2 linked regions of the Alligator mississippiensis genome follow. Each later gene encodes a partner of the first gene's protein in a complex. Links are inferred from orthologs where the notes say so. Each region holds a gene or a part of one and is shown in the gene's direction. Other genes may lie near its edges. The genes, in order: KLHL3 and WNK3.

Region 1 (9,325 bases):
CCTGTGTATTAGGAAATCAATAGCACTTGTAAAAGTGAATCTTTGTAGCCGTTAATGAGACCTGATGCATAGTTGCTCAATGTCATCAAATGTAGGAGTGGCTGATCAACTTTCCCAGAACTGTCCTTCCAAACGAGGAGAAACAATAAATCCAAACCAATTTAGCAGTTCAAATGTTGGATTTTTTTTTTTTATACGATAGGCAGCTGTTTTTATGTATGTCGTGGAAGCTCCATCTTCCATTTAGACAATGGACAGGATGGTCTTCCTTAAAGCTTAAAAATACATGGCTCACAATCCAAGAATTTTAAAGATTATTCCAAATAATTCTGGCAAGATACCCATCTGTGCCATGCTAGAGGCTTGGTATGCCACAAGTGTGATGTGATATATTCATTAGAAGACTTAAAGGTAATTGTCCATTTTTTTTCTAATCTTTCAGCTAAAGTTAATACAAAAGGTATCACAATACTGATTAACTGAAGCAGAAGTCTCTTAAAATACCTTCTCTACAGAGGGAGACTGCATCTAGTGAGCTGAAACAGCATGAGACATCTGAGCCCTCAAATAATGTGACACAAACTTTATAGAGGAATAGAAACCAGGGCTTAGAGTAGAGTGGGCTGAATCCCAAAATGGAGTTGACAAGGCTTATGATTTTAGATTGAACAATGTCTCATTTGTCTGAGGTCCTGAGCGAGCTCACGAGAGAGTCTACGTTATTTAGGTATCACTAGACTACCTGGTAAATATAGATTCAAATAGGCAAAGGAATGTGCCTGTGGAAAAACAGCACCCCCTAAGCCTTTTAATGCTGCACCTGTAGCTTGTATGCTTGTGCTAGGAGTTGCATCATAATGTCATACCTCATAATGTTCTGGTGGATAAAGCAGTGTGCCCAAGTTTATTTGACATGTTAAGAACGAGAAATGGAAAGTAAAATCTAAAAGGGGAAGGAAACCAGAGGAAATGAGCAACCAAGGGTAATGGTGATTTAGGCCTAGACCTGGGAGGTGGCGGGAGAGAATTTTCTCTAGCATAGATGAGACTGGTTTATGCCAGTATGCCAAAATCGCTCTTCAGCACTAGGTACAGGGGTATAGGCTGTAGCCGTGTTGGTCTAAGGACATAGGCAGACAAGGAGTTGGTTTAAAAGAAGATATCAGATGTACCTAAAGAACCTTGTCTGCCAGTTAAACCTTCCAGCATGGTTATGACTTGCATCAGTAGCCTGCCCAAACTAAGGAGGGTATTACTCAAGTTTTAAGGCATTGGTTTGGCAGGGAGGGGTGGGCATAACCCTGCACACCTTGCAAATGGGCAAACTGCTACGTTCTGCCTCTGAAAAGTTTCCTCCTGTGTCACCTAGCTAAGAGTCAGTGATGCTGGAACCCAACAAGGCTCTAGACACTAAATCACGACCCCTCCCAGAATGGGGAAACAAGCATCCTCTGCTTTTCTTTAAATTACTTTAAAATGTGTTGTGTGCCCATATGTCCAGTTTGGGGCAAATATATAACCATTAGGGCAATCTTTTCTACAGAGAACACTTTTAGTAGCATCAGCATAGTGTTGATTTATTATTTGGTTTGTTTCACTTTCCTTTGGTCCATTTACAGGAACATGGACCTCCATCGCCTTTTCCTGAAGCATTTCACCCTGTTTAGGTATTTATTCACACACCTTATCTACCCCTTCCCCTCCACCCATATTTTGTGTTCCCACTGCTGCTAATTTTTACTTTGTTTACTCTCTAGTGTAACATGTTCCTGCGACGCTCCTTTTCAGATGACCCCGGTATAGTTGCAATATGGATTTAGGGAAGGCAGTTTGCATCTGTGCCGTGTTTGGCTGTGGGTGAGGACACTTGCTTTTATTTATTTTTTTTTAAATCAAGGTGTAGTAATGGTTTTGCAGCTTAGCTGTTCGTTGTTACCTTGTGCGAGCAGAGCAGTAACTTTTTTGCATTCTAAAATTCATAGCCAGGTTCCAATTGTGGCCATTCCTTGTCTTCATAATGTTCTAAATTTGAAGAGTTTGGGGGGTGGGGAGGAGTATCAGCATGACGCAAACCATTTAAACATAGAGCAAAGGGTTGATACTGCGTACTAGAATCCAGAAAAGTTGCATTTTTGTCAAGGTAATATGCAGGCTAGTGGTAAAGCAAGATTAACATAACTGTACATCTGCCGCTAGAGGGCAACATTCGCAGCTTAAAAAAGAAATTCATCTACCATCATTTTTTTTTCTTTTCTGCTGCAGCTGAGTCTAGGGTTACGCAGGATCTTTCCATGCTGCCTGTGTAGAAAGAGTACAGGACATTTGGAGATAAGTAAATGAGGCCTACATTCTTATCATTAAACTGAGTCAAAACCTTAAGGGTGCAGTAATGAATCCAGTGCGTTTATCTTTGACATTTAAGCTGCCAAAAACACATGGATCCCCAGATCTGCAAACAGCCTTATTGTGAATCCCTACTGGATTCTCACAAAGGGTGTCCTGCTAATTTGGGGCCTTACAAGGATATCCTAATCCTAGTAGGAGTTGTTTTGCTGAACATTTTACCTTGGTTTATCCTGGGAAAAAGACAAAAGATAGGCTGACTGCTCTAAATTACAGCAAATTTGTACAGTAGTACAAATTATATCTTTGGGTACTCAAAAGAAGTGATAAGCATGTTACAAAGGGAGTAAAAACATAAGATTTAGGTTTTGTTCTGGTTTTTTTCCACCTCAAATGTCTCTGATCTTTGATGCTTGAAGCTTTGGGCATTCAAACAGACCCATTCACACTTAGTACTGATCACTTTTGATTCCACTTGAAGTGCAGTGGAGCTGCTGGGGCTGAAGACTTCTGAAGATTAAGTCGAAGAGATCCCCTGCTGGGCTCCCCAGTATCAACTGGCTGGTTTCAATAGTTGCTTTTGAGCTGATGCTCCCTGCCCTAAAGTTTACAATCTAAGTGAGACCCATCAGACTTTCACCGATTTGATTCTTTACTGGTAGGGATCACAGATGCCAGAAGTTAGAGAGACTTTTCTAAATAAAAATACCCTGACGAGCAGCCAAGACTTGAAGATGCAGGCTTGGAATCGGTGCTACATGTTGAGTCAGAACGTGCCAACTTTACACGCATGCTTCAGGAAACCTCCAAACTCTTTGACTTGCTAATTACTTGGAACAGTCATGAGAAAATTCCCATCACGAAGCATGAGTGATTTCTGGATAGCGAGTAAAATATCTTCATTTTCATGCCCCTCAATCTTGTAGGAAGTAGCAGGCAAAGTTTGTGCCAGGCACGACTGTTTTACAAGGCTGCTATAAAGACAATCACTGCTTCCTTGACTGTATCTTTGTTCTAGCCCAGCACTTGCTACCCATCGAGTGCTCTAGTCTTGTCATTGGCACTAGACTAGGGTGCATGAGGTGAGGTCTTCTGTCAGTGGCCTTTAAACTGAGAGGCGAGTACCTTGTGAGTTAGTAGTCACTTGTGTAATACCTCTATGCTGCTCAGGGGCTTGGCACAGAACCTACCTGTGCTCCTTCTGTCATCAGTGAGGAGCTTTGCCATTTTGCATTCAAAGAGAAGGACAAGGGCTCTCATTTCACTACCGCTTTTAGTGTTGTTACTTTTGCTGTTTGCTTTTATGCCCTTACTAGCTTTGGGCTGTGTTCTGGGAGCATATGACTAAATGGGCACTAGTAGGATCTGAGTTAAAATCTTCCCACTGATCCCTTCCAAAGGGAACATCTGGGCAACTTTCTCCTCGGGGGTCTGCAGAATCCTGTATGAAATTCTGGTTGTGTTTGTCTATAAGGAAACAGGCAAAATTGTTTAAACTGTGGGACTAGATGGCAGGAGCCTTGGGTGCTATTCCCAGCCTTCCTTCATATACTATGTGACATTGGCTGACTTCATTTCCCTATGCCTAAGTTTAGAGTAGGGATGATAAAATCTAGTTTTACCTCTGTTATATTTGCACAGGTTCTTGGGTAAAAGGCACTGTAGAAGGACAATTTATTAAATTATTATCATGGATAAAATTTAAAAGCAATTGAACTTAGTTAAAAATGACTGAAGGTACCCAATAGAATGCCTCCTATTAAGGTGGAAGTTTAAAAGGCTAGGGTTATATAATTGTACAAAGGAGATGGAGTATTACATGGCTTGGCAAAGGCTTTTGGACAGTTCTGCACATCTCTTCCCACACTACAAGAGCGCTGAATGAATGGAAAAGCAAACAAGAAAGCAAATTCCCCTCTGTGCTCTGTACAATTAACCTTTGGAACTTGTTGCTACAGAACATGATGGGGGAAATAATAGCTTTGGAAAATTCATAGATGATTATAAGAATCACTCCAGCAGTTACACTAGCTGGAATAAAAATGGGAGGTGTTGTAAAAACCAGTGCTGGAGGGCTCAAACTGTGACTGCTACCATCTGGAGTCTAGAAGAAACTTTGATCAAATAATAGATAAGTTGGCCTGGCAGGATATGCATATCGTACGTAACTCTGAATGGATGAAATGTACACTATTGGTCTCTTGTTAGGAAATGATTAACAGCCAAAATTAGTGGACATACAGCATATACACACTCACTCTATAATAAACTGCTAGCGTCTCCAGTGCTCTACTAGAGTAACATTTAGCTAAGCTACAGGTAAAGTTTTGGCCTTGACTTCCGGTGTTGAAATACCTTGGCACTGTCAACCTATTTGACAAAGAAGCAACAGCCAAAAAGCATTGGGGGAAGCATTCTCCAAATGATCTCAATCGCTGCCTGTCACTGCAGTGTCTGGGGGTGTTTTCATGAAGACGGACCTTTGGAAAGCTGAACGCTGCCCTCTGAAAAGTGCGCGGGGAGGTAGTAAACCACGTTAGCCTGAAGTCCGGCCGAAGGCAGGGCAGAGTTGCACGTTGCACACTATTTCAGGGACGCGCATAATAAGCTCGTACGTCTCGGAGTTGGTTGCGCTTCACGCTTTGCCTTCTGTCTGCGACGCGAGCGTGCGTGGAGGAGCGGCGCTCGTGCCGGGGCGCGTGGTGCAGCCCCGCGACCCCCGTGCTTGCCTTGTACGCGGTGGAGCTGCACGATCCTGGGCCTGCTCCCGTGTTCCTGACCCGACTCTGGGGCCGAGGTGGTGCCCCCGGTCCCAGCAAAGCGCCCCGGTGGTCTCTGCGCCAGGGGCTCCACGCGATGGGACCCGACGGCACTTGGAAATACCGAGCAGGAGCAGAGTCCCCTTCCCAAGGGGACATGTGGGGAGCCTCGCGCTTCTTCGGCTTCCCACGTGAAATCCTGCCTGCATCCCCGCGTCTCTACGGCGAGGCCAAACCCACCCTTGACCCGTGTATCCATGTTGCCGGGGTCTGGGGCTGCTGTCGCGGCAGGCGGGGACGCGCCAGGCGGCCGCGGGCGAGGGGCCGGCCGGCGGCACGGTCCGAGCAGCCCGGGGGCGATGCAGGCGGGTTTGTGTTGGTTTTTAATTCGTGTTTTGGGCCAAATCAGTTCAGCTCAGTCCTTCGAGGCTGGGCCCGAGACGCTCCCCCAGCCCCGGCGGGCATCTTGCGGCCGAGGCTGCAGGCCGCGGGGGCCCGCTGCCCCTTCCTCCGGCGGCCCGGGCCCGCAGCCCGCCTCGCCGCCGCCGCCGGGGGGAGGGGTGCTCGGCGGCGTTGCCGGGAGACCGGGCGCGGTGGGGGGGGGTGGGCGGGGCTGCAGGGAGCGCTGGGTAAGGAGCCGCCGCCGCCGCTACTAGCGCCGCTGCCACCGCCGCCGCCGCCGTGCTGCTGCTGCAGGGGCCGGCCCGGCCATGCTGCTCGGCGCGCCCTGAGCGCCCGGCCCCGCGCCGACATGGACCAGGAGAGGTGCGTGACGGCGGGGGAGGTGTGTGTGTGTGTGCGTGTGCGTGTGTGCGCGCGGGTCACGGGGACTGCCCCCTCACCCCCCCCTCCCTGGGCAGCTGATCCCAGATCAGCTGCTGGGGTGTGTGTGGGGGTGTAGGCGGTGGCTGTGTGTGGTGTGTGTGGGGGAGGTGTGTGTGGGTCTGTGGGAATGTGTGTCTGTGGCGTCTCCGTGGGGGTGTGTGCGTGTCTCAGCGGTGTGGGGACGGGGAGATTTAGCCCCTTCCCCCCACTTTCAGATCCTTGCAGCGTGCGTGTGCAAGGAGACGTGAGCTGCAGCCGGGGACATGAGCCACAAACGGGGTTTTTTTTTTTTAAATTAAAACCCAAAGGAGCCCAGCAGTTTCAGGGGAGATGGAGCGCGGCTTCCCCTCCCGCGCGCTGCTCCGCGGCCGCCTGCTAGCCAGCGAGATGCCACCCGGGCACCGGGCGCAGCAGGCACAAGTTGATCCCGGTGACTCTTGCTGTCCCTCGGGGGCCACGGTTGGCTCTGAAGCTGGGGGGGGGGGTTCAGTGTGGACAGGGGCTTCTTGCCACCCCCTTCACCCAGATGTACGTTATTTTCTGCATCCTTCTGAGCCTGTGCAGCATCCTCGGCGAGGAGCTCCTCCATCTGCCGTGAGCTGCAATAACCCATTTAGTTTTTGCAGGGCATGGAACAGGGTTGCTGTACGAGCCCTTAGGATGCATTTATTAGCCCGGGCAAGGTGACGAGGAGCCCGAGGGGGGCTGGCAGGCCACGTGGCTTGACCTGCTGCGGCAGAGCCGCGAACTTCATGCCACCAGATCCGCGCCGCGAAACAATCCTGCGCTCTGCTTTCTTTGTTTTTTCCTCCCCCGCTTGTGTTTCTGCTGGTGGAGTTCAGTTCTGGCCCCACCGTCCGCTCGTTAGTGCTATTTGTAGTTAATGAACAAAAGTAGACCAAGTTTGCAAAGCGCCTGCCAGCCTATTTACACGTCCTCTGTAAGCAAAAACCAGTGACCCGTGCTTTATGACAGGCGGGGGAGACCCCAGTAGCTACGGGCTTGATTTTTATACGGTAAATCGGCCCTTAACTCCTTGTTTTCTGTACGGTGGCTAGAACAGCGCCTTGAACCTAGCACAAGTACCGAGCCTTGTTATTGCTGCTTGGGAACTTCATAGATACCAGAGGAATCTTAAATATTTACTGTGCTCTACCCAGCCTTTTTCCTCGGCTGTCCCTGTGACTTTCTTACGCCAGAGTCTTAACACCTTCCCGCTCAAAACCAAGCGTGAAGCTAGTCATTTCTGAAAACAGGATATGCCGAGTGCTTCCTTTTTGAGCTGTGCCTGTGACCTCCTGCATCTGGGGGCAGGGAAGCCTTTGCTGAAGGAAGCTGCCAACCTTTGCAGGTTGGAGAAAACTTTGCTTCTCCAGTGCCCTGTATCTGAAGTGAACTGGGGGGGTCAAACCCTGCTGTACTTTCTGGACCAGTTACTCTCCCTGTAGCCACTTTTTTGCCCAAATACCGAAAGGCGAGCTTCTACCCTCAGGTGACTCAAGGATCGCAACTGCTGTTTGTGTACTTACTTACTGCTCAAAATGCAACTTTCAGCCTGGATGTCCTGCTGTTTAATGCATCCTAGATGTAGTGTTTCCAGTCGGTGTTTAAATGGCCAGCTGCGGATGTTTCACCGTTAGCATCTTCGAATCGTATACTCGTTCTTTTCTAGATTCATGTCATTTCCTTCCAGTTCTTGCCATGAATCTAGTGGTGGAGAGAGTTGACAGGAGAGGAAGCTGGAGCCTTGTGCTTCTTTATCCCAGCATTTGACCTTACGGGCAAGGGATTGTTGTCATCATCACCGTTAATCACTTCTGTTACGGTAGTGTTCAAAAATCTCTGTTCAGTTTGGGGCCTGGTTGTCCAGGACACGGTAGGAACACAGCTGTCTTTAGAGTGACCCTTCCGATTTTTCTCAGCGTCATTTTAGACTGGCCTCAGGGAACGAAGAGGTGTCACAAGCTGTATGTCTGCTTAGCCTCTGAAAGTGAAGCATCTAATTGAAACTGCAGGGGGATTTAGGTCAGCGGAATATAATTACCCAAACTAACAAACTATGGCTGACGTTTAGGGCTGGGAGACGAGGCTCTTTAATGATCTGAACCAGTAACTTGGAGTTTTGCCCTCTCGGAGGAGACAGTTGAGTTATTCACAGGCTTCCCCATTCTACCAGAGCACGTCACAGAAACGCCACAAAAGCTGCATAGTGTGCGCTGAGAAACGCAATGAATAGGTCTTGAAATGATGCCGTCAGGTACTTGATCTCAGCGTGTCGGACGGTGAATGTATCAGGTTGGTGATAGGTTGTATTTTTTTTGGTGGCGGTTCTGCTGTTACTCTCATGCATGTGCTCAGAGGTTTGGCTGGAAGACTTTAAAAACCCAAATAAATAATTAAGGTCTCAGATATGACCTCTGTTAGGATGTGTGTGATGGGGGTAGGGGGTTGCCTCTGGAGTTTAAATGGATCCCTCTTTCCCTTTGTTAACTAACCTATTTTTAAATCAACTAAGAGGGCGAGACCTCAGATCGCTTCAGACCCAAGCTCGAGACCTGCCAGTACTCGTGTGTTACACATGTAAGCTGTTCAGCAGGGCCAGTTGCACGGGTACAAGTTGTGCATGTACATAAACGTATGCAGATTTGGGGCTTTGGTCTGAGTGGCTCGCACCTTGCAACCTACCTAGCTTACGTCAGAATTGCAGTTTTCTGCTCAGCGTTGATCTGACCTGGTTTTGGCAAAAGATCTGTGGGGTGTTTTTGGCAAAACTACACAGCGGTAATTGGTTTTAAAAAAATACAGATGCTCTTTGAGAAAATGAAATGCACCTTGTTGTCAAGAAATAGCCTGAAGTTACGTTAATGAATCGGATGACGAATTCCTGGCAATCTCCGTTTGCATAACTATACCTTTTAAAATGATGGATTTTGGGGGATTTGCATGAAATTGGTTTCTCATTCTGTTTCTCAGGAAAAAAGCCAATATTTGCATCAGAAAGCAGCCAGTAATCATTTTCTTTAAGAGTAATTTTTTGCCCTATTTTTGAAGTTTTATGGAATTTGCTTTTTGTCATGGGCTCTGCTTTTTGGGTTTTGTTGTTTGTAACAACAATCTATACCAACTGCACATTTTAACAGGTTTAATGTGTCCAGCTTGTAGTAATAGGCAGCGAGAAAAATGCTGTGACGAAACAGGAAAACAATGCTACCTCAAAAACAAACCAAAATCTTTTCTTTGTAGGCAAGGGTGTTTTTTGTACGTGTATTTTGAACAGAAAAGCAGAAGTAGCTAATTCTGTTCTGTTGTCCTAAAATCCTTTGAAAAATCTGCTGCTCAAGATACTGGAACTGAGAATGTCAAAGGCACCAACAAGCATTTAACTGCTCAACTCAAAT
Region 2 (8,451 bases), on another chromosome or scaffold:
GCAATTGATGCCAGCTTTGAAGCTTCGCAACCTGGAAGCCTAACATCTCTGGAGCATTTTCCCTGCCTTCGAGCTGTCTGTGCCAACTTTGCCAAGGGGCTGCCTGGGCCACACAGAGCCTCTTCAGCATGGCTCTCTCCTCTTCCCAGGCTGGCATTCACTTCTGCCGCTGATCCCTGCTTTGGGAGACTTGCAAGTTTTCTTTGGAGCTCAATAAATGTAGACCCCCATAAGTTCAAATGATCACACTATTAACTGATCAATCCAGCAATATGTTTAAAGCAGCCACACCTCCAAAGTAAAACGATCAAGTCATAAAAATAGCCCTCCAGCTACAAGTGCCAACCTGATACAAAGTTAGTGTTTCAAAATGTGTATTGACTCTATAGCTGGTTTCTATCCAGCTTTACTCTGCATGGGTGGTAGGGCCCTACAAAGCATGCCCCCCTCTTGCAAGCTTTGCAACTGATATTTTTTTTCCAAAAGGTCTGCTGGGGCTTTCTATATCCCCTGAAGCATTTTACGCTTTTTCTAGGGCAGACATCCCATTGCAATCTATCCCTGATTATGGAGCCTGGCAACATGGAAATGCTTTGAATTCAAAGCATCCCCACCTCTTGCAATCCAGGTTCAAATTAAAGCTGGACAGAAATCAGCTATAGAGTTCTCACACATTTCCAAGCGCTGATTTTGTAACTAGTAGGCTCTTTTTATACATGGATGGCCATTTTTGTGGTGTGATAATTACACTTTGCACATGTGGCCTGTCTCAATTTATTGCGTGACTGACCAGCTAATTGTGTAATAATTGCTTTGCATAGGTCGCCTGTCTGAACATTTTGAATGGGAGGGATTCCAGAGGGATCCAGTCTCAGGAGGCTGTACCCCTCCCCTATCACCTCGTGGTCCCTGGCTGTGGCTAGCCACTGGGGGAAATGGGACCCTCCCCCAGGCTCCCTCCCCTACTTGTGATCCACATCCGGGGATTTTTCATGATTAACAAATCACTGTAATTATTTATTCATAATAATACAGAGGTGGATTTTTCCACAGGGGAGGAAGGGGACTTTGTACAGGTGGGGGGGGGGGGAAGGGGCGAGGTGGGGATGCTGTTATACTTAGCCATTCACCAGCTTATCCACCTGAGCCAGTCATATCTCTGCCCTCTCTGGTGGTGTTACATACAGCCATTCCAACCCAGAGTCAGCCACATCTCCCTCCCCCCGACCATTCCCCTTGTCTTATACGCAGTCATTCCACCCCAAAACTGGCTGCATGTCAGTCCTCTTCCTGGCATTATACTCAGCCATTCTACCCCAGAACTGGCTGCATCTCCCCTGCTTCCTTTGTTACATTCAGCAATTCCACACCAGAGCTATTCACATCTCTGTCCTCCCTTGTCGTGTTATACTCAGCTGAGAGCTGGAAGCATCTCAGCCCTCCTTTATGATGTTATACTCAGTTGTTCCACCCCAGAGCTGGCTGCATCCTGGTGCCAGGCGAGTCCAGAGGCATCCATCTGTTGAGGGCAGGGAGGGGGTTAGCTGGAGGCCACCAGCTTCTTCCTAATCCACAAACAGTCCATCTACCACCTGCCAGCATACAGTCCATGATGTCCAGAGGCATGTGGGGTGGGGGGGGAGCAGGAAACACCTCCTCTGCTTTCCTCACTCACTTCTTCTTCTTCTTCTGGACTAGGGTCCAGCCATCCTCAGGGGCGGGTGGAGGGCTGGGGGGTGGCTCAGCCCTGCTGCACTCCATGGCCTGGGGGTGGTAAGGGAGGAAGAAGGGAGGTTAACACAGACCCTTCCCAGGCTCATGCCCTCTTCCCTATCCACCTAGACATCCATACCTCCGGCATTTCTTCCTCCTCCTCCTCCTCACTGCTCTGGGATTCAGGCTGGGCCTGGGCTGCAAGCACACAGGCCCGGGGAGCAGCCTGGGCCAGGCGAGCAATGGCATTGTGGGCGGACCCCGTCTCCCCACTCTGGCACTGCCCAAACAGCCACTGTAGCTGCTGGCTCACCTGGGGAGGGCAGAAGGGGCAGTGATGGGATGTGAAGGGATAGAATGCTGCCCCTAGGCATCCCAGAATGCTTTAGGGCAGAGCACCCCCAGAATCATGCCAGCATGCCCTGGGGTAGGCAACACTGCCTCCCAGTTATCCCAGCATGCCTGAGGACAAAAAGCACACCCTCCCCCAGCCATCGTGGGGCAGAATGAATGTCCTGGGGAAGAGACCCTATAACCATCCCAGCATGCCCTGAAATAAATAACACTCCCCGCCAAGCCATCCCAGAGTGCCTCGCAGTAGATAACACTCCCCCTCATAACCCTCCTAACATATGCTAGGGTTGATAAACATCCCAGCATGCCCTGGGGCAGAGGGCACCCCTCACACCATCCCAGCATGCCTTGGGGTAGACAACACTCCCCCACAGCCATCTCAATATGTCCTGGGATAGACAATACCGTCTCCTCTATCCCAGGATGACTTGAAGCAGAGAATCTTCCCAGCTATACCCAGAAAGCCCTGGGGGATAGGAACACCCCCACCCATCCTAGAATGCCTTGGGATAGAGCTATCCCAGAATGCCTTGGGGCAGAGAATGCACCCCCACAGACATCCCAGAATGCCCTAGGGCAGAGGTTCCCAACCACCTGGCACTGGTGGGTTGGCTGCTGGGTCACGGCACAAGCCCCCCACTCAGAGCCCTGTCTGTCTGCCTGGGCAAGCAGCTTCCAGGGTCACAGCTCAGCTTCCAGGGTTAAAGCCAGGTGGCAGGGTAGCCCTGGGAGAGGGGCAGCCAGTTCTGTGTGCCCCATCCCACTCCAGTGGAGCCACAGTAAAAAAAAAAGGTTGGGAAACACTGCCCTAGGGCAAAAGACTGTTTCCCCCTGCCTCAGGCTATCCCATGACACCCTGGGGCACAGGGACTACCCTCAGCTATCCTCAGAATACCCTGGCTGGATGGGGGCAGGAGGATGTTTAATGTGGAAGGGCTTTCCTTCCCTGCCCTAGGGCATCATGGGATTGTACCTCCCCCCCGGAGCTCCTTCCCAGCAAGCCCTGGGGCAGGGCTCACCTGAGCCAAACTGCCATCTTCAACAACAGTGTCAAACTCACGGTCCAGCACCTCGGCCAGGAAGTCCTCGATCTCGTCCTGCTCCAGGTCAGCTGGGGGAAGGGCAGAGTGAGGGATGGAACCCAGGTGTCCGGGCAGCCCAGATCCAGTCAAGACCAGGATCAGGGAGGTGCTGGGCACTGTACAGACCGCCCCCAGCCAGCATCAGGAGGTGCTGCACATCCCTGCCCCCCCCCCCCCCCCTCGCCAATTCTTCCTGCCCCTACGTACCGTTGTTGTGGAAATACTCCTCCACGGCACCCCCCAGCCATGCTGCCTTCTCGGGCCCATGGGTCCCCCCAAAGCCATTCTCCACTGCAATCTAGGGTGACAGGTTGGGGCTCCTCAGGATCAGGGGGGCTGAGGGGTCCCCCAAATCTTCCTCCTTCCCTTCCCCATCCCTTTGGGATTGAGAAAGGGGGTGAGGATCTTTTCTATAGGAGGTGGAGGTCTCATAGATCTCTCCTGCCCCTAAGCACTGCTGTAGACGCAAGGTCTTGTACAAGGGATGTCCATCTTCCCTCCCCTTTGCGTGTTTCTATAGGGAATCTATATAATGTTTATGCTAGAAACCTATATGGCCCTTGATATTTATCTGGGGATGCCTATATATGCTGAAGGGAGCTCTAGAGGGTAGCCTGACACCCCCTACATTTCTATGGGGAATTGCATAAATTGTATAAGCCAGGGGACTTCTACAGGTGTTCAGGTCTATAAGAGCACCAACTACTCCTGCATTTCCATGGAGGCTCCTATAGGTGCAAGGGGTTCTATACATGTACCTCCTACCCCAGTGTTTCATGGAGACTTCTATATGCACCAGGATTTCCATGGGGGCACCTGCTACCCAAGCATTTCCATGGAGACTTCTATAAATGCTAAGATCTCTAAAGAGGCACCTGCTATTCCTGTCTTTCCACAGGGACATTTTCTATATGTACTAGGAGATCCAGCACCCCCCCTAGTGTTTCTACAGGGACTTCTATAGGTACCAGGGGCTCTATAGGGGACCCTGACTCCCCCTATACTACTGTAGCCATTGTTATGGGTACAGTGGTGAGTGGTTCTATAGGAGCACCTGCCCCACATTTCCACAGATTTCTATACGTGTTGATGGATCTATAAAGGATCCAGCAACTCCCCTAGTGCTTCTGTGGGGATACCGACATATGCCAGCGGAACCAGGGGACTCTGGTACCCTTTTATACTTCCATATGTGCCAGGAATGGTTCTGTCGGGGCATCTATTACCCCTGCGTTTTCCCCGGTGCCAGGCAGGGGATTCGGTCCCACACACGCGCTAATGTGTGAGTGGGGGTTTCTATAAGGGCCGCGCGAGTTACATAGGAGCTCCCGCTCCTCAAATGCATCAGCAGGGACGTCTATAGGCGCTAGCGGGGATAGCTATAGGAAACCATTCACCTATAGATGCCTCCAGGGCCCTAATGCTCCCTCACCTGAAGCGCAGTCCAGCTGCCCAATACAGCCCGGACCCCCTGCCCGAAGAGGCCACGTGTCTCCTCCCTGGGTGCCGCCATGACAGGGCCGGTCAGGCGAGCCAATCGAGCGCGGAGGACATCGATTCCATTCCTCTTCCTCCACCCGGTGAGGGGAGAAGCAATAGAGTGCCGTTTTCATCAATCGGCGCGTCGTTTTCGCTGAACGCGGCGCCTCCTACCCACCTGCCTTTTGCCCTGAGGTCGGAAGTTCGGGTCTCGCGACTCGGGTTTTACCGGGAGGCGGGAGCTTTTCAATTTCGTGTTTGCATGATCTTTGCAAGAGGCCACAGCTGCGGCTGCTGGTGTTGGGTGGCATGTAACAAGGGGGGCGGGGTGATTTGACCTGGCAGAGGCATTTATTGGTGTAGGTGACCTGCAAGAGAAGAGAGAGGGGTGCAGCTAAGGAAGCAAACAGGAGCCTGGCTGCTCTTGTATAACAGGCCCCGCACATTCTACCAGCTGAGGGGATGGGGGCCCCTAGGCCCCTGGCCTGCATGGACTATCAGCAGGGTCCCAGTAACAATAGCAATATCCGGGTGGCAGTGATTGGCTATGTCTTGGCCCCTGGAGGTGCCCACTGTCTCTAGGCAGCCCCACAGAGACTATGGCTGTGTGAGGGTTGGCCACACTAGGCCACCATATTCGTTGTATTTGTGTGACTGAGTCATGCCCACTATCTCTACACAGAGGGCCGTGGCAGTGTGGGTGTTCGGTGACTAGGCCATGCCCACTGAGGCCGTGGCTGTTTGAGGGTTCGCCAGCTGGGCAGTCACATTGGTTGTATTTATGTGACTGGTCTTTACACAGAGGCCCATGGTCATAAGGGCTGAACTGGGTGGCCATCTTTGGCCACCCTTTTGATGTGACTCCATCAGATTCCCACAGCTGGGGAAGGCCCACTGTGGAGCCAGGGAAGGGAAAACGGTGTGTGAGTGTGGGGGCTTGTGTCCCTCCCCCCCTTCCTCGGGGCTGGGAACATGGTTGCCTGAGATAATCCCCCCTTCCCCTCGTACAAGCCAGGGAGGGTGTAAAAACTACAACTCCCAGGAGGCTTTGCTCCTCCCTCCCTCCCAGCCTTTGGACATGCGCAGTTCTCGCAAAGGTACTCGCACTAGCCATTCTTCCCCCGCCCCAATCTTTGCGCATTCGTGGCATCCCCCTCCAGAGTGAATGGATGAGGGATGGGGTGAGGCGGGGCGGGACTGGTGGAGATGGGAAGGGATAAAAGTGGGGGGCAGGGCTGGAGTCAATGGGGAAGAGGTAAAGGGGGCGGCGGCGGCAAATGGGGTTCGAGTAAGTAGTGGGGAGGGGTCGAGTCAGTGGGGTAGGGGATAAGTGGTGGGGGTGTTAGGTGGGGAATAAGTGGAGGTAGAGGGCCCTTGGGTCAAAGGGGAGGGGGGGTGTGCTAGAGAGAGAGCACCTGTGTGTGTGATGTGGGGGCAGGAATCCAACACTGGGGGTGGTTAGGGTTTTATTGGGAGGGAAGGTCACTGTACACCACCTGCCAAATATACACACAGAACCCAGCCATCTGGGACACACTCAGGATTCAGGTGTCCAATACACACACACACACACATCCCCACACACATGTATGCATGCACACACCCCCTCAGGCATCTGGAATGCACACCCACACTGGTGCACACGAGACCCAGGCATCTGAGAGACTTACGCATGCACAGGGGATACATGTGTCTGGGATGAATGTGTGCATACACACACACACATACAAATGACCCAGGTCTGAGATGTACACACACACACACACACACACACACACACACAGGCATCTGAGAGATGTACACATGCATGTGCACACACATGCCCTAGATATCTGAGAGATGTATACACACACACTCAACCCAGGTATCTGAGATGTGCACAGACACGACCCAGGCATTTGAACACACACGCACGACTCAGGCATTCAGGATGCATGCGTGCACACAGAACCCAGGTGTCCAGAATGCATGCATGCGCATTCATCATTCACACACACACGCTACTCAGGTGTCCAGGACCCACACACACACAGAACCTAGGCATCAGGGATGCGTGTGTGCACATACACACAAACCCATTAGTACCACAAGACTGCTGATGACCTGGGGTATTAGCTGGGGCCAATGTCAGTTGCAGTCACACCCCGAGGGCAGGGTGCTGTGCTGTGGTGGGTGGAGCATCCAGAGAATTGGGGTTCATGCAGTACAGTCAGCATGTGTCCTTCCCCCCATGCATGCGGTGATGTGGGGTGCTATGGAAGGGGGGTGTAGTGGGGGTATGGAGGTTGTGAGGGGGTGTGTCTGTTGCTGGGGTGGTTGAAATGGTTCATAGATTCATAGATGTAGGGTTGGAAGGGACCTAAGTAGATCATCAAGTCCGACCCCCTGCCCTGGGCAGGAGAGAATACTGGGCTTATATGACCCCAGCTAGGTAATTGTCAAGCCTCCTCTTAAAGACTCCCAAGGTAGGAGCCAGCACCTCTTCCCGTGGAAGTTGGTTCCAGATCCTAGCTGACCTGACTGTGAAGTAGTGTCTTCTAATATCCAGCCTGAACTTACTCTCAAACAACTTATGGCCGTTATTCCTTGTTACTCCGGGAGGTGCACGGGTGAACAGGCTGTATTTGGAAAAGGAGTGTGTGCATGTATTAGGAGGTTGAATATAAATTTGTTGGAAAGGGATTGTGGGAGAGGGAGTATGTGTCTGTATGTACATGTGTGTGTGTTGGGGGAGTGTGTGTCTCAGAAGGGGATTGTATTGGAAATAGCACACCTGGTTTCTGACCTCTGCTGTGAATGAAGAGTGGGGTCTGGTGAGTCAGACTGCTGGGGACTGGGTGCTTGAACCTCTGATCCCCAGGTCTGGCAGGGAGCAGATCTAGTGATTAGAGCAAGGGATTGGGAGCCAGGATACCTGGGTTATCTCACTGGGGAGCTCCCTTCATATATCAGAAAAATTATGTAGCAACCTGCTGTTCAGGGGGGTCACCTGGCTCGTGTCTGTCTGTCTAGACAACTGAGTTCTGGGGGGAAAAAGGGGAGGGTGGTCTCTCAGATGCCCAGGATCTCTGTGTGAGCGTGTCTGTGTGTCTGTCCTGGACACCTGGGTTCTTGGGGGTGGGATGGGGTGGTGTCCTGGATGCTTGGGTACTGGAGGGAGGGGTGTGTTTGTGCATGTCCTGAGCACTTGGGTTTGTGGGGGGAGTCCCAGGTGGCTGGGTTCTGTGTGGGTGGGTGTATCCCAGGCAACTGGGTTCTGGAGGGGGGTTTGTGCACGTGCATGTGTCCTGGGCGCCTGGGTCTGGGGGGTGGCAGTGTGTGCGTGCGTGTGTGTGTCCTGCAGGCCTGCGTTTTGTGTGTTTGTGTGTGTATGCGTGTTCTGGATGCCTGGGTTTGGGGGATAGGGTATCCCAAATACCTGGGTTCTGGGTGTGTCATTGGGGGTGGAGAAGTGCCCTAAACACCTGGGTTCTTGGGATTTGTGGGGCTGTGTGTGTGTGCCAGATGCCTGGGTTCTGGGGGAAGGGGGTGGTCTGGGTGTGTCGTGTGTGTCTGTCCTGGACACCTGGGTTCCGTGTGCATGTGTTCTGGACACCTGGATTCAGTGTGTGTGTGTGTACTGGAGGCTGCGGGTGTTGCTGAAACATCCCCCCCCTGCCCCCACCCCGTGTGTCGCTGGGAAGATGCTGCCATCGCTGGCCTCTTTCTCCCTGTCTTTTTCCGGGCACCTTTGACAGCGTCCAGGAGACGAGATTGCCTGCAGGGAACCAGCTGACCTCTCCCTGGGTAGTCGGGTGAGCTGCAGTCCCCTCACCCCCATCCC

Evidence for each region.
Region 2: the proteins of KLHL3 (region 1) and WNK3 are in contact, whole or in part, in a crystal structure (PDB 5NKP), measured with the Homo sapiens proteins. The link is inferred for Alligator mississippiensis from reciprocal best matches to the Homo sapiens genes KLHL3 and WNK3. Residues at the interface, in NP_059111.2 of Homo sapiens: Lys312, Arg339, Phe355, Gly357, Arg360, Thr386, Phe402, Gly404, Ser405, Gly407, Ser432, Ser433, Tyr449, Gly451, Arg454, Cys456, Ser481, His498, Arg528, Tyr577; in NP_065973.2 of Homo sapiens: Glu537, Cys538, Glu539, Glu540, Thr541, Glu542, Val543, Asp544, Gln545, His546.

The regions. Positions count from the first base shown.
Region 1 is NC_081832.1:72,934,875-72,944,199, reverse strand, and holds the start of KLHL3 (kelch-like protein 3), read left to right. Parts: upstream 1-5,743; 5' UTR 5,744-5,853; coding exon 5,854-5,867; intron 5,868-9,325. UniProt on the Homo sapiens protein: Substrate-specific adapter of a BCR (BTB-CUL3-RBX1) E3 ubiquitin ligase complex that acts as a regulator of ion transport in the distal nephron.
Region 2 is NC_081831.1:27,927,118-27,935,568, forward strand, and holds the start of WNK3 (serine/threonine-protein kinase WNK3), read left to right. Parts: upstream 1-4,745; 5' UTR 4,746-4,823; intron 4,824-5,425; exon of another isoform or gene 5,426-5,809; intron 5,810-7,870; exon of another isoform or gene 7,871-8,422; intron 8,423-8,451. Other genes in the region: pre-rRNA-processing protein TSR2 homolog, read right to left, coding at 1,672-1,764, 1,853-2,026, 3,087-3,178, 3,357-3,447, 4,582-4,662.